Linked DNA regions of Arabidopsis thaliana. The protein of the gene in region 4 interacts with the protein of the main gene of each other region in a pairwise test. Each region holds a gene or a part of one and is shown on either strand. Other genes may lie near its edges. The genes, in order: AGL97, AGL28, AGL62 and PHE1.

What was found.
Region 1: the proteins of PHE1 (region 4) and AGL97 interact in a two-hybrid assay, tested with the Arabidopsis thaliana proteins (one large-scale study listed by BioGRID).
Region 2: the proteins of PHE1 (region 4) and AGL28 interact in a two-hybrid assay, tested with the Arabidopsis thaliana proteins (one large-scale study listed by BioGRID).
Region 3: the proteins of PHE1 (region 4) and AGL62 interact in a two-hybrid assay, tested with the Arabidopsis thaliana proteins (one large-scale study listed by BioGRID).

What each region holds. Positions count from the first base shown.
Region 1 is NC_003070.9:17,231,322-17,235,123, reverse strand, and holds AGL97 (AGAMOUS-like 97), read left to right. Parts: upstream 1-2,172; 5' UTR 2,173-2,188; coding exon 2,189-2,989; downstream 2,990-3,802. UniProt on the Arabidopsis thaliana protein: Putative transcription factor.
Region 2 is NC_003070.9:191,852-195,826, forward strand, and holds AGL28 (AGAMOUS-like 28), read right to left. Parts: upstream 1,820-3,975; 5' UTR 1,812-1,819; coding exon 1,500-1,811; intron 1,221-1,499; coding exon 789-1,220; 3' UTR 783-788; downstream 1-782. Other genes in the region: ASG4 (Homeodomain-like superfamily protein), read left to right, coding at 1-38, 116-208. UniProt on the Arabidopsis thaliana protein: Probable transcription factor that may function as a floral promoter operating upstream of known floral activators in the autonomous pathway.
Region 3 is NC_003076.8:24,303,050-24,308,304, reverse strand, and holds AGL62 (AGAMOUS-like 62), read right to left. Parts: upstream 2,925-5,255; 5' UTR 1,977-2,924; coding exon 1,653-1,976; intron 1,361-1,652; coding exon 785-1,360; 3' UTR 589-784; downstream 1-588. Other genes in the region: AT5G60430 (antiporter/ drug transporter), read right to left, coding at 5,237-5,255.
Region 4 is NC_003070.9:24,265,283-24,269,273, forward strand, and holds PHE1 (MADS-box transcription factor family protein), read right to left. Parts: upstream 2,055-3,991; 5' UTR 2,039-2,054; coding exon 1,199-2,038; 3' UTR 975-1,198; downstream 1-974. Other genes in the region: CYP96A3 (cytochrome P450, family 96, subfamily A, polypeptide 3), read right to left, coding at 2,853-3,991. UniProt on the Arabidopsis thaliana protein: Probable transcription factor involved in the development of gametophytes and seeds.

The DNA.
Region 1 (3,802 bases), 7.0 Mb from region 4:
ACATATGGGCTTTGTGTTTTGTAATATGGTTGTAATGGGCTGAAGATGAATTAGGCCCAAGTATGTTTAGTTAAAGAGTGTTGTGTTGTAAGTCTAAGTTAGAGTAGAAGAGTGAATCAAGGAGTGAGAGTTCCAATGTATGTAGAAGTAGGTCTTGTGTAAGAGCCATCATTAGGTCTAAGTGCAAGTGTGCAAGTGTGTGTGTGTCTCAAGTAGAAGTAGTTTATGTATGTGTGTCCTTGTGTTGTGTAAGAGTAACCAAGTAATTAACAATGTAGTCTTTGGAGGAAAACGCTTTTGTGTCTCTCTAGAACAAAGAATAAAATCTGTGTGAGAGACAAGAGAGCAAGAGATCTAACTAAAGTGGTTAGATATGTGAGAATTACAACACAATGTCATATATGTATACATCAGAATATTAAACCTACAAAACAAAAGTAGCTCTGGAAATCTCAATAATGTAGTCTCTTAGAAGGATCCACAAAGGCCACAGAGAAGAAAACATAATGCTTAATAACAAAGATGAACAATGTGGATTTTGCCAGAATATTTATGGCTGTGAGCTTGTTTCTTCAAGAAGTCTCTACCTTTTAACTTCTCAAAAATCAAGTTTCTTAAACAAGTCTTCAATGCTGAGGATGTCACAGAAGAAGTCTTCAACAAACCTGTAGCCATGTTTTGATCACAGAAGAATCAGTACTTATATGTTTCTAATTGATACAAGATTCTTCTCCAGCAAAACCCTGATTTCTTCTTCCAAATCTCACTTGTTCTTCTTTCAGAATCTTCCATACGAATCTTTGATTCTGTTGTAATTCTCACAATCTCTCTATTTCTCACACTCCTTTACGGTTTCATTGTCTTTAGAGAGAAAGAACAAAAACTATTTTCTTTTAATCTTCTACTTTGATAATATTCTTGGATACTCTTACACAACACAAACAACACATACATATAGTGGTTTTGCTCCACTTGGTAGACTACACACACTTAGACTCTAGACCACATCATTGTCCTAAGACTTACATCATCCACTCTACTATGTTGGAACTCCAACACCTTAATTCACTCTCTTAGTTTACTTTAGTTGTCACAACCTCTTCTTGTTGGACCTTAACTAGACAACTTGTACAAAACACTTATTCGTATGGGCCTTATCTCATTACCTATGACCCAACACACAAAACACAAACCCATTTGGTTTGTTGACTTTCTTCTCTTCCTTTGACTCCTCTCTTCACGACGTCTCTTCTCCGCCATCGTCTTCTTCTTCCGTTGCTTCTTCCTTTGTTCTTCATCTTCTTCTTCTCACCAAGCTTGTTATTCTTGTAGGATTTAGTTTAGGATACTCAATTCCAACAGATTCTCGTAATCTCCATATCTAGATCCTCTTCCGAATCCGTAATCACCAATTCACCATTATCAACCAAAAGCTTGAGTTTTTGTTGTGTATCGGACATTGATTCACCAGCATAAAACAGAGATTCCATACTAGGGTTTGAGATTGTATTCTTCAATACTGTGTCGTCTTCTTCTTCCTCACAAAGTTTGCAATTTTGGTTTTTGGATTCGTAACGGTCACAAAGAGAAGAAGAGAGGCTCCTAAATATTTTGTTGTATTGACGCTTTTACCCTTCATAACGGTCTTATTTTATTGACCGTTGACCAAACCGGTTAAAGGAAGAATTTGCATGTTGGTTTACTCGTCCTCCTTCGCTTATTAGACAATCAGTAGTAAACAAATTCACCGACTAAACCAAAAATTCCACTAAATACAGATTCGGTTTAACTAAACCGGTCTTTGTTTGTATTAGATGGTTTTGAGTAATTTACTTTTAGAAAAGGAAACAGTTTTAATTTTTCGTTTAATTACCGATTAGGGTATTATCAGTAAAAAAGGAAATCAAAATCGATGTTGTTTCAGGTGGTTTTGTGTACTAATTACTTTCAAAAAAGGAAAACAAGTTTATTTAGTCGTTTAATTACTGATTAGCAATTATCAGAAAAAGGAAATAACATGGATTAATTAGAAAACGAGTTAGGGCTACTAAGTCTATATATATATCTATCTGATTAGAACGAGAGTGAGTCCATTATCATATTCTTCTTTCGCAACAAGCGGCAGCACACAAAACTCTCAAGTCTTGTCTCGTTCTCTTTTGTTTGTGAAACTGAGAAAAAAAACAGAATGGGTGGCGTGAAGAGGAAGATTGCTATAGAGAAGATACAGAACAAAAATCCACGAGCGGTTTCATTCTCCAAACGTCGTAAGGGTCTGTATAGCAAAGCTTCTGAACTTTGTCTTCTCTCGGACGCAGAGATTGCGATCATAGCGACTCCTGTTTCTTCTAATTCCAACGCCGCTTTCTACAGTTTTGGCCACTCCTCTGTTGATAATGTCGTCGCTGCTTTTCTCGCCAATCAGCGTCCTTGTGATGAAAGGTTTTGGTGGGAAGATGAGAGTCTTCTAAAATCAGAGAATCTGGAGGAGTTGAGAGAGGCGATGGATTCAATGTCGACTATGTTGCGAGATCTCAAGGAGTTGGAGAAGCAAAGAGATCATCAAACGCAAACCCTAATTCATCAGCCGTGTTCTGCAAGGGTTTGCATTCAAGATTATGTAACTGTGAATTTCGATGGGTTTAACACGGAAGAGCAAACCCTAGCGGTTTCTGACAATAGTAACAACAACGGTTTACTTGGAAACTTGGATGAGTGCAATGAAGATTTTGATGATCTCGATCAAATCTTCGATACGGTGACAAACTCTGAATTTTTATCGGTGAATTTGGAGATGGATGATGTAACTGTGAATTCTGAAGGGAACACGGAAGAGCAAACCCTAGCGGTTTCTGACAATAGCAACAACAACGGTTTACTTGGAAACTTGGATGAGTGCAATGAAGATTTTGATGATCTCGATCAAATCATTGAGTATTTGACAAGCTCTGAAGCTTTATCCATGAATTTAAAGATGGATGATGTCTGATGCATGCCTCTATGGTGACAATTTGTGTTTATGTTGAAATTGGATCCTTGATTTAAGTATTGCTTCGGTTTAGTATATCTTTGTATGTCTTTTATCAGCTTATGACTTTATTTGATCTGCGTGATATTTTCGTATATCTAACCAAAACATAAGAGCATCCCCAACCACAATACACCAAATTTTAACACCAAATTTGATATTTTGGTGTTTCAATTGTTTTATCATCTCCAACCATAACACCAATTTCACACTAAAAATATTACTTTTTATTATAATATTATTAAACTTAAGATTTTCTTTATTTTTTTAATAGTTTGATATACATAACATATTTCATAACTAAATTATTTTAACTTAATTAATATAAGATTACAATCGATAAATTGAAAATAACAAAAAAAAATTACATTGTACTAATTCTCAGAATTAGTATATACGGACCACAAGTGTTCAATTAATGCATTTCGAAGTTTAATATGAGCTTCACGGTCTTTGATTTTCCTGTGTCGAGCTAAAAATTCTTGAAATCGACCATCATCGATCGTCTCCCGCCGTTTCATCTTCTAGAGTTGGGACCTCGGCTCTTTCTTCAATACTTGCATCAAAATCACGTTCATCCTCTATGTCATATTATGCATTATGATACAAGTAGTTATAATATCATGTAACACTTTCTTACTCCATAAACGTGTTGGTCCAGCCACAATTGCAAAATCTGAGATCTTTCATAGTCAACCAAGACCAAAAAGATCTTTACAAACTCGAATGACAACGATTCTTTCTGCTGTCTCCAAGCTAAGAGGATGTGTAACC
Region 2 (3,975 bases), about 24 Mb from region 4:
AGAGATTAAAGGAAATGGATCCAATAAATCTTGAGACGGTATGAAAACCAATAACTCTGCACATGAACATGTCTTGATTTGAAAACTAACGTTTACACGGTTTTTTGTTCAACAGGTTCTCTTACTGATGAAAAATTTATCTGTAAACCTGACGAGTCCCGAGTTTGATGAACAAGTAAGAGCTAGTCGACTCTTTGTTACATTTTGACTCTTGAGAATATTGAAGAGTAAACAAATTTTCTCTGTTTATTACAGCGGAAGTTGATATCATCTTACAACGCCAGTTAGAACTAAACGATAGAGAGAAGTCTCTAATGGTAGTCTCATGGGATATGAATGAATGAACCGGTTGTACATATAAGTCTCAATAGTTTAGAACGTCTTAGAAGACAGATAAAGCCTGTGTAGAAAGTCACTAGCTTTTTTGTAATATTCAGTTGTTGCTTAGGTTTTTATACGGAATGGACTAATGACATAACTAGTTTTGAAAATTACTTCAGATAAAGCCTGTGTAGAAAGTCACTAGCTTTTTTGTAATATTCAGTTGTTGCTTAGGTTTTTATACGGAATGGACTAATGACATAATATGAAACTTCATATAGCTTACTCATATTCCACAAGAAAATGATATAAAGCTACAAGACAAAGTATAACGAAAAGAAACAAGAAACTAGTTGACTCGAGACTTAATTAAAAGCCCGACAACAACAACAACAACAAACAAAAACAAAACAAAAAGCAGAACAAACTATTGGAGACTTAAAAAGTCACACAACGAGAGAGATAGACTAATAGTAACGAGCCCAATACTGAGGATGGACTTGTTTAACCTCCTGGTTTTGGAGTTGGTAACTGTTGTACCCAGCTGGTGTGCGATTCATAACATTAAATCCAAACGGCAGTGTTGGAGCAGAAGTAGAGTTTCCGTTTTGATCAAAGAAACCATGGTTTGTGGAGATATTACCACCACTAACAGCTGCTGGAGCAGCAACATTGCTAGAACTTCCAACATAGAAGTTTAGGTTTCTATGATGAAGTTGAGCGACTTTTTCATCAACTTCCTTCTTCAAAGCTTCAAGATCACATTTCATGGAAGTTGATTGAGCTAAGTTGAGTTCTGTTGGAGAGTTCCTCCACCACTTCTCAGCGTCCTTGTTCTCTCTTTCATTTTGGACTATTGACTGCTTGGTCTCTTGTTCTTTTTCTTTTTCAGCCATCACCTAAGATAAAATTGTATTTTAAACAATTAATTTCATGAATAATGAATGTGTAAAGAAAATCCGTGAATCCATGACTATGACTTAAACAAAAATTGAACCCACCAAAATTTTCATTCTTAATTTACTTTGTTGAGGAAATAAATATGCAAAGGAGGTTTACCATTTCTTTTACAAATCAAAAACAAATTGTGAAACACTTATATAATAATTTTTTATCTAAATTGAAAAATAAAAGAGAGAAGAAATAAAGATTAGATAATGCCAAAACTTAAAACTTACCTCAGTTAAAGACTCATTGAGCATTTGAATACGGAGCTTTGTGCGGCTTTCAGCAAAGTTTGTGTTGTTGTGTCTTATAACACGCCCTAAAGAGTGGTCAAGTAACTTGTTAACATTTGGATGACCAAAAGAGTATGCTTTTCCCGAGGGTGAAAACACGATTATCGCAATTTCCGCGTCACATAAGGTGCAAAGTTCACTGCCTTTTTTGAAAAGACCAGATCTTCTTTTTGAAAACGTAACTTGAAGGTTTGATTCGTTGGTCATTTTTACCAACTCTATTTTTCTACGACCAAGATTCTTTCTCGCCATTTTCGAGATGTTTTGAACAGAAAAAGAAAAGCGAGTTGATTATATTAGAGATAATAGGTATTTGTATTTATAGACTAAATTTTACAAAATATGTTTTGAGCATTGAAAGAAAATATTTTTTTCTATAGTGATTTATAAGAAACAAAATTATGAATTACCACTCTAGGAGTATATATTGGTTTACAAATTTCGTCAATAAAAGGTATACAATATTCTATTTTATCTCCAACATTATCATTTTTTAAAGTTTACAGCCTGTCAATTTTTTAAAATATGGGAAGGATATCCACAATTTTCTTAAAAAATATTTTCCATGTGTTTATTTTCCACTATTTTTCTATAATCAATATCCTTTTTGATCTTTTATATTTATTTTAAGTGTTCAAATTTTTTATATAAAATTCATATAGTGTATATATGAAATATTATGTCCAACTTACTTTTGTTTTTATAGAGCAAATTGACAAAATAATATGATTGAAAGTTGATAAATGACATGATTGAAATTTTATGTCCGACTTTCCAAGATTTTATTTAAGTAAATAGTTGTTTTGATATTTTAATTGATCGCTGACTTTTCAAAAAAAAAGTTGTGATAATTAAATTAGATTTAATATGTGATACACAATTTGTTATATCATCTCTGAATATAGTATACTTTTACACAATTTGTTTTGGGCCGTGATTAATATAGCCCATGATCGTTACCTAATGGGCTATGTTTCTCTGCCTCTAATTGCTTGTTATACATGATGATGATATATTGATAATCTATAACCTATATACCTCTCCTGAAAAACGAATTTTTAAAAATGTATACACTTCTCATGTTTCTTGTTATATCTTTTTCCTTCTTGTTACAATTTATCGGTGGGAATCAAATCTGATTGGGTTCCTTTTTTTGGTCGGTAATGGTATTCAATAGTCAAGTATGTAAAAGATTCTAGCATATAGATTACAAGTCTTAAGCCCAACAAGGAACCAAACTAAAACTGATTAGGGAAAACTAAGTAAGATTCTATAAGCTAGAGTTTGTACAAAAACAAATTCTAGCCCAGGTAATGAAATATCCAAATGCAAAAGACAACATTTATTAGCTCAGAATCTACTTTTAAAAAAGCCCAAATACCACATATCATAAGCTTGCACTTCCAAACGACTCTAAAGTCTAAAGTCTAAACCAACCATCGCCGCTGATCATTGACTTATTGGCATACTACAAAATTTACTTGTTTGGAGCAATAATGGGTTTTCTCTTTTAGCCCCACCTAAACCCTTTTTAGGAGGAAACCTAGATTATACGTGGCCACACTAAATATTATTCTCTCATTAATTGCTCTACTTTTAAGAGCCAACCAAACTTTTTGAAGACACAAATATTATGAAATAGTAATACATTTGACCTCCGAAGTTTCAACGAATGATCTACACAATCCATCGTGTCAAAGATACAATTTTTTTATCCACCATTAAAACTGTAACAATACAACATTACTCATAACATTGACTTTCAGGATAATCAGGCTCTTCATCACCTTGACTTGCAGTTTCAGTCTTTTTATCTACTTACTGCATATATGATATGAGAAATCCGATTTGTGTGTTAATGTGACATAAACAAAAAAAAATGTTCTTCCTATATATATAACAAATATTTTTTATGAACAAACCAATAATAATGTGTATCAGAAGCAAACAAATGATTTTTTGGTGCACTCATGTTCCCATAACAAAAGTGATTAGTTTCTCATAAAGTAAACTCAATAATTATTCCATGAGTATGTTTATATCCATATAAAATTTGCAATTAAATAATCAAACGTCAAGGTTCAATTATAGTCAAAACAAGAACGAAAAACTAACCAATGTGTAATCCACAGATTGGTTAATTGCACTGAACCGTACCTTATCATACCACCCCAACGGCTATCGACATCGATTTATTACCAAAAAACTCCTCAAAACTATATAAAAGACTCTACTATCTTCCACTTTCCATAAAAGGGTAAAATAGACATTTCGGGTAACCTTCTCTCACCGTCACCACACATGCAATTACACTCAGACAGGAACTCAAAAAGACAGCTCATTCAATTACATCAACACAGATCACTCCAAAGCCTTTCTCTTTAAATTCGTTATCGTTTTTTTTATTTTATCAATT
Region 3 (5,255 bases), on a different chromosome or scaffold from region 4:
AATTTCATTTCTTAAGTTCTTACATATGTGGATACTCTTGTATTGTTCTTACAATTTTTTTATTTATTTTTAGATTGATATCTAATACATACTAGATATTTGATGATGATTTAATCTTTTTTAAGGAAAATAAATATTAGAGTATACTGCACGGATTAATTAAATAGAATGATGTGACATAGATTTAGCCTTTTTTTCAACTAAAAGTTAACCTTAATTTTATTATATTTTCCTTAAATTTAACATTAATTTTATTATATTTTCTATATTAGAATTAGATTTTTATCATTTTAGGAATATTTCACAATATCTGTATTTCATCATTATAAGGAATGAAATTAGAGGGAAAGCCATTGTAATGCTGTCATTTCATTTTTTACAATGTACCAAAATATGTGGGATAATGTATGTACTATTTTAGTTGAAAAATGGTGCACACAGAAATTTTCATTATGCTTTTTTGCAAATTTATTTTAAAATAGTACATGATTGATTATGATTATTACCTTTCTGTGTTTAAAATTCTGCAATTGCCCAAAATGCGTAAACGTAACCATGGCAGACTAGTATTTTCAGAGGCGTAATGCATTTGTTTCCGACACATATAATTTATATATAGCAATAACATAATTTTGAAATGAAACAACACAATACAACATAATACTTAAACAAGAACAAGAAAAACAACAACAACACATGTAGAAACATAAATAAGAAGAAATAAAGATAACCTAAACACACAACTTTTTGTCTAGAGACTTAAGTTGGATCACACAACAAAGGGTTAATAGTAATCAGATCTAGACTGGGGAGGATAACCATGATGATGTTCATATTCAGAGATGTTTTCTCTCTTAAAACTCTGGTTTTGGATTTGGATTTGAACTTGATTTTGGTTTTGGATTTGGTTTTGGTTTGGGTTATACTCTGGTCTGAAGTTCACATTGTATTCTGGAACAAACCCTTCATTAATACCATAAGCATTGTTTCCAAAGGGTGGTAATGCATGATTAGGGTGAATTTGGTTCTGGTTGTAGTTGAAGGCATTTATGTCCATCATTCTTCTTTGGCTAAAGAGATCCATATCAGGGTTGATATGACTACCATCATCAATCCCAAAAGCAGCATTATTACTAGAACTTCCCACATAGAAGTTTGGAACATTTGCCTGAAAAAATCTGGAAGCTTCGACTGTAACTACTTTCTTCAAATTTTCAAGATTACCTTTGAACCCCTCGAGTTGAGATAACGCAAGTTCCTCAACGGGATCTTCCCACCAATTCCCAAGGGCTTTTGTCTTTTCTCTTATTTTCTTTAACTCGTCGTACTTCTTTTTCTCTGTTTCTAATTGACTCAACACCTGCAAATATATATACAAATAAAAACACCAATAATATTATTAATTTTCATACCATATGATTCTATAACATTTCATCGGCATTTTTATCTAACATACTATTAGGATATAAATCTATTCTAGTTATGGAGAAAAAGACTGTCTAATGTTTTTTATATATTATTTATTCACCTGCGAAAACTTTTACTTATATATATTAAATAAAAAAAGAATTTAACCATAGAAATTTGGGTTTTATGATTCATAGAAAACACTATTTTGTTTTAATCATACTTAAAAATAAGAGTAAGATTACCTGAGTAAGATGATTATTCAGATCCTGAACAATCGAATTTCGACGAGTTTCTCTAAGTTGCATGTTGTTGTGTTGGTGAGGAGGTAGAGGGTTATTGTTTATGAATCGATCAATTACAGAATCAACATTTGGATGACCAAAAGAAAAGACTTTTCGACCAGGTGAGAACACAACTATGGCCACTTCTGCACCACAAAGTGTGCAAAGCTCACTAGCCTTTTTGAAAAGTCCAGATCTTCTTTTTGAAAAAGTAACTTGAAGGTTACTTTCATTTTTCATTTTGACCATCTCTATTTTTTGACGACCTTTGCTTTTTTTCACCATTTTTAGTGATATTTGAGAAGCTAAAATATAGGATTGGTGTTTGTAGAATGAAAATGCTCATGTATTTATAGCAGAATATTACAAACCAAATAATTAATATTTGAGTTGTCTATGAGTAAATTTCAACTTTGATTTATTATATTTTTATTTGAATTTGAATTTTACTATTTTTGTAACATTTCATAATCTTAATATTCAATCAATATATGGTATGCAATACAAATTTATTTGACTATTATCTTCTCATTTCATTTGTACAATGTATCCAAATCTGCCAGAAAGATCCACCTTTAATTAGTAGTGATCTTTTCATATCTAATAGTAATATTATTGGAATATTTTTTTTAAATATAGCAACAAAAATGGCGGCGTAAAAAAAATTACTAACAAGTAACAAGCGTAATATGGTCAATATGTTTTTGATTTACTGATACATCATTTTCGTTAATTGTTTAATATTCTAAACTTAATCTCATATTTTAATATATTAAAAAATCGTTATATTGTTATCTGAAATTATTTGTCGCTATTTTCTAAAGTAAAACATGTATTCTCTCGTTTTTTTTTGTTAAAGGGTCTTCTTATGTATTCTCTCGTTATTGGTGATTGATCTATTATCGATAATGAAAACTATTTATGATAAAATGATTGTATGATTTTTTTAGCAATTGTTGTAACAAATATACTCCGTTACATTATTTATGCAATCATATTCTTTGCTACTTTTTAGATAGAACATATTTTTCTTACGTTATTAGCGATTGATTTGTTATCACTAATGAAAAATATTTATGATAAAATTGTTATGTGATTCTAGCAACTCGGCCACAATTGTGATAGGTTTGAGATATATATATGATTAAGCCCGGCATGACTATGAACTATTTCTTTGTGTTCCATACACATATATCCTTCTCTCTTTATATATATATACACACTAACCTTTATATGATGTAATTATCATCTAAAAATAGTTTATTTATATATTTATTTTAAGAGAGTATATTATAAAAGATTAGATTCAAGGAAAAACATTCGATATATTGTTTATCGGATGAAATGAGTTTATGAATTTTGCACTAAATAATGTTCCTTTATGAATATAGAAAACTTAGTTATTTATGTGATAAATACAGAAAAAATGAAAATCGTCAAAAACGGATACCATGAGATAACACTATAATTTTGAGAGCTTTAAGATAGAATTATTTTGTTTGGACCGTTATATAGAATATGAAGACCATTCCAAATTCATTATTATTTCTGATAAATTGACAATAGATATATGCCGTTACATTACTTACTAACTCTGTTTTTAAAATAATAATGGAATACATTCCTCTATTGTTATTGGCGATAAATTTGTTACTGATAATAACATATATTTATGATAAAATGGTGATATCTTATTTCCAATAATATTTATAGCTCCCCTATCTCATTTGATGGATTGATAAAAATTATTTGAATGACTTTATTATTTTTTGATAATTTGAAGCCAGATTCTCTTAAATTACACAAAATATCAATTATATAGTAATTAATATGAAATATTCAACTTATCTATGTAGAATGTAAATGTCATCCAAAAATAGTGAAATGGTAGTTGTTTCAGATAATATCTCCAATTAAAATTATTTTACCGATGATAATATAATACGGGCATGTTTATTAAAGTATGCATAAAATAGTGATCTTTAAAAGAATCTTATCATAATACTGAACTAGATAGAATTGATTAATCTTAAAAACTTTCAGTATTGATTACAGTATTAAAGTTTTATCTGAGGTACAATGATTTTTGTTAACTTATTATTTTTGATAGTTAATTGGTATATTTTCTGAAATTGATTTTAGAGTTATAAATATTATGGTAAATATAGTTATACTGATATCATAAAATAATAAATATATATGAGATCTTTAGAAATATGTGATTGAACTAAATATCTTAAAATTCTTATTTATGAAACTTTTAAATAGTTAATATACCAAATAATTTAAAAAAGGAAACAATAATTTTCTACAAATATAATCCATAAAATTTAGACGAGACAAACTACTTTTGCAGTAATTATTAATTTGTATATTTGTTATATAAGATAAATTCTTCAAAATACCACATTTTTTAAGTTTTGTTGCCAAAAATGTCACTATTAGTTTAATATTTCAAAGATACTACCAAAAAAAATTTGTTTTTCAAAAATACCACAAAACAACAAATTGATGTCCAAGAGTTCAAAATTTAAAATTTTAGGTTTGGGTTACCTATTTTAGATTTAGGGTGTAGTTTTTAAGGGTAGGATTTTAGTGTTTAAGGTTAGGATTTGAAAGTTGAAAATTTAATTTAGTTTTGTGATATTTTTGGAAAACCAAAAACTTAAGTAGTATTTTTGAAAGATCAAACTTAAGTGTGATATTTTTGAGAACTGTTTGCTATATAAACATATTTGCGTACTTTAAGAAATATTATTTATAGAAAACTGCCAAAGGATTAGAAAAATTCACTAATATATACACATAATTGAAAGACCTTTTATACTCTTTGGTAACATATTTATTAGTATGTAAAATAAAAATACAAATGGTTTTAGTTTAATCAAATAAAATGTAAAAAAATAATATAAAATATTGAAGTCTTTAGACCATGACTAATAACCTAGCGGTATTTGCTAGAATCATCGTTGTGTCATTGCCGAGATGCAATTCCAATTAAAATAATTAATAAATCATATAGAAGAAAATCATACAATATTTTATATTATTACTCCCTAAAATAATGAATTCCTGAGTTTTTCACCAAGATTTAGAAAATTATAAATTATATATTTTGATTAATTATTTTTGTGCTATATCTTTTAAAAAGTTAATCTCAAGTTGCTTTTTGCTCCACTTATCTTGAAAATAATAAATGATGTACTTTGATTTATTGTAAATTTAAAAGCATAAATTAATTGATTGATCTTGAAAATAAAAATGCGTTAAATATACCACGGAAAATCAATATTTTGATACAAAAACAAAACCTCACGAAATCATTCTTTGGAATGAATAAACCAATCATATGATATGATACATGACATTCGAACATAAGGAACTGCTATAGGAACAAAAGTTTCCCACATTAACCTCAAAGGCTAGTCTCTCTAAAATCATGGGACTAAGAGCAAGTCCAGTGATTAGTTTCTAAATAAAGTTTCTATGTATTTTTTATTAATAAATTTGGATAGTTTTGTAGTTTAGAGATTTTTTTAGAGTTTTTAAAGATTTGGTGGTCCA
Region 4 (3,991 bases):
AAAACAAAGTTTTTCGAAAACGATAGATATTATTTATCAAGAATCTTTTTCCGTTGGATAAAATAGATAATACAAGCACACAAATTTATCAAAATTTGCGATCACGCAAATTCTTGTTGGACTAGAATTTAGGTGTCATAAATAAACTTAACTATATTTGCGAGTCTTTTGATCCAAAAATCTTGTACAACGTGTCTCAATTCTGAAACAACAAAGCAGGGGAAGTGTGGAAACAATGTGAAAGAAGAGATTTTTAAGATTCCTTAATTTCTTTTATGGCCGTATCTTGCTAGGTTTTCTACTATTCTATGTTTTTTTCCACAAGCGTGCCAATATGTTGAAAGAAGCGTGTATTCCTAAAAAGGAATGAGGGCTTCATTTCCAACGTATTCATGTGTCACGGTTGTTTAGCTTAAGCTTAATTTGGAAACTACTAACTTCGTGGGGGTTTATTATGGGCGGTTCCGACAATATATTATCTGTTAGGATGGTAAGGATTCTACTCTAGGTTCCAAAACGTGGCAGAAGCTACTGAAGTTAAAACCAATTACGGCTGAGTATGTACATCAGGAGATCCACAATGGTCAGCACTATATATGTACTTTTGTCTTCGATTTTTTTATTCCCATGGGACGTCTTCTCGACTCATAGATGAGGTATGCATTAGAAAATTATGTGTGCCAAAGTATGCAAAGGTCTCACAAGTGGTCACCTAAACTACGTAGTTGAGAATTTGCTAGAAACATCTTGAAATAGCATGGTACACAAAATTGAAATCCTTTCTTTTTTGTGATCAACATTTGAATCCAACAAAAATATGGCAATAACATTCATAATCATTTTAGTTCAAATATAAGTAAGACGAAAACATGACATAGCCATAGCATATATATAGGCAAAACAAAGAAAGTTGACTTAATCAAAGCTATTTTAGATATTATAGGGTTTTTAATGACATCATATCTAAAGATTTGTTTCTTCTAAAGATACTGAAAACTCTTTATTTTGTAATGATTAAAATTATTCAAATTGAACTAAACCTTTTCAGGCAAATACATCAACGGAAATGAACTTAAAGGCAAAACCTTTAACTGTAGTACAATAATAAAAAAAAACATCACATAAATTTTATTTTCTGAAATGGAAAAATCAAAAGATGCAGATGATCAACCACTTCACTCGAAATACATCCCTTCGACTAGAGATCATTGATGATGTTAGGAGCACAAACATCAGTGGGGGCAGTGGTGACGGTAGCGAGACAATCGATTTCGGGGTGGTAGTTGTTGTTGTCCATGCAAGGAATGCCCTCGTCCTCTCCATCATTAAGATCCAAATTCATACTCTGATTTGGATCTATATTCATTTTCATGTTAAAATCATGAAGTTTCTTTGGAATCTGATCATAAAAATCATAAAGAGCCTGGTATTGGAATTGAACCGGCTCTTGCTGATTTTGGTTTTGATCTTGAATCATACGACCATCAAAACCGATTGGGACAGATGCATCCACAACAGTAGGAGCTACACCAATAGGAGGAGGTACAGATGAAGAAGACTCACCGTTCTCCTTAAGGATCTCAACCCTACGAATAACACCATTGAGATACTTGTTAAGAAATACATTCAAATCAAGAAGATCTCTTCCATGAAGATGAGACACGTCCACCTCTCCTTTGAGACAACCAAACATTAAATCTCGAATCTGAGAATTACGGTTCTCATCACGTAGCTTCTGGAGACGTTCTGTTTCTTTGGCGATCCTTTGACGTAAAAACGTCTCTTGATCCACCATCTTCTTGGTCCGGTCCAACACCGAAAACTCCATAAACTTCGACATCACTTCTTCAACGCCTTCCCTTGATGGCCAAGGCTCCTGGATCGAGTTGTACGGGCTACGGATGACCGCACATGCGTCAACACCACATAGAGTTACTAGCTCGTTGAATTTCTTCAGCATCCCTTTCTTCCTTTTGGTGAATGTTGTTTTCCTCACTGAATCATTTTCTATGAACGATAACTTCATCTTCCCCCTCATATCTCTTATCTTTTTCTTTTGTGTATTTTGCTTTGTCTTGTTAGCATGAGGAGGATGGTTTATATAGTCAATTTTCGAGTCAATAGATTTTTTATTGCTTTGCTGGATATGATTAATTGATTTTTTATTTTACTAATTTTTCAGGATTTGTATTAGTTTCACCCTTACGTGTAGGCATGTGATTGATGGTAAAGTGATAATCATTTATCTTTAGAGACAGCCCATATAGATATTTTACCTTTTGGGGGGCATATATAAAAACAAGATATATAGGAAAACAGTTGTATCACATATCTAATGAGATTTATACTTTATTTAGGAAGTCCATTGAAAGGAAAACAAATTACATCAAAGGTAATTTAAGATATTTCTTCAATCTCTAAATTTTTTCTATATGTTAATAGTTTATATAAACATAATTAATAAATAATTTAAAATACATGTAATATCAGTTGGATAGAAAGTAATGTTATGGCTAAACAGTGAAAGTAATGTTATTTTATTTTTTTTGTTTCGTTAAGACACATGCTATTATGTGTGTTATCGATTTTGGGTGTTATAACTGTGGGGAAGGGTCCAATAATACAAACCATAGCTGCCAAAAAAAATATTAGTAACTAAACATCAGATTCTAAAGACCACAAAATGTGAGCACATGCTATTGTAAAACCGTGATGTTATTATGAAATAGAGACTCTTATAAGGCAAATGACTGATACAAATTAAAGACGTGTTTGCAAAATAAGTCTAAGCATGAGTAAACATGCATGTTTTATTGAAATCTTTAACAGCAAAAAAAATACAAAAACTATCACTAGATCCTAGTGATATTAACTTTGAGACCATGTTGCATACGAAAAAGAACAGAAGGAACTGGTTCGGTTTTGTGCCCTTCAACGACCTTGATGTCATAGTTTCGTATGATTTCCGCAGCCACTGTCTTCATCTGTAAGAACGTTAACTTTTTCCCCAAGCAAGCTCTTGGACCGGCGTTAAACGCCAAGAACTTATATGAAGGTTCATGTTTTAACCTTCCACTGTCTGAAATCCATCTCTCTGGTCTGAAATCTTCTGCGTCATCTCCCCAAACAGATTTCATCCTCCCTAATGCATACATAGATATGACAATCTTCCATTTCTCATCTACTCTATGCCCACTTGGAAGTACGTCTGGCTTTGCCGGTGACTTGTGGTTAAATGGAACTGGTGGGTATAACCTTAGCGTCTCACACACGGCACCGTGTAGATACACGAGCTTTTCTAAATCTGCGGGATCAAACCTCGGCATCTTCTTGTTAACCTCTTGTCGGATCTTGTTTATTGCCTCAGGGTTCTTGGACATAAGCCAGAAGAACCAAGTGAGTGCTGAACTTGTTGTATCTCTTGCCGCTATCAAGAAACCCAAAATAGTGTCTTTGATGAATCTATCATCACTTGGTTCCAAGTACTTATATTTGGTCGTGTCCATAGTCATGTAGTATGTCAACACGTCTATGGCCTCTCCTCTTGAGGGATGATGAGTCCCATGACTATTGATCTCCTCTCGTTTAGCCGTTATGATCTTCTCGAGTAGTTGATCGAATACCGCTAGACCTCTTTTCAATCTTTTCTCTACTCCTACACCAATCAAATATTGGAGCCTCCACAAGAAAACCGGCTTAACATGTCTATAGAAAACCCCGTCAGAAACACCATCGACCGCGTCACCGAACTCAACCTTAGGCATTTCAACGGATAAACATTTTGGATCATACCCGGTCATCAAAATCAAAGATGTATCAAACAAGAATCTCTGGAACAAATCTTGCAAGTCGACAAGGATATTTTTATCAGCTGCGTTTTCAAGAATAGGAACAAGCCCTTGCCTTAATTTTCTTACACTTGTACTCACCCAGAACATTTGGAAATCTTGATTACTAAAAATGGCATGAGACGAGTTCCTCATATCCTCCC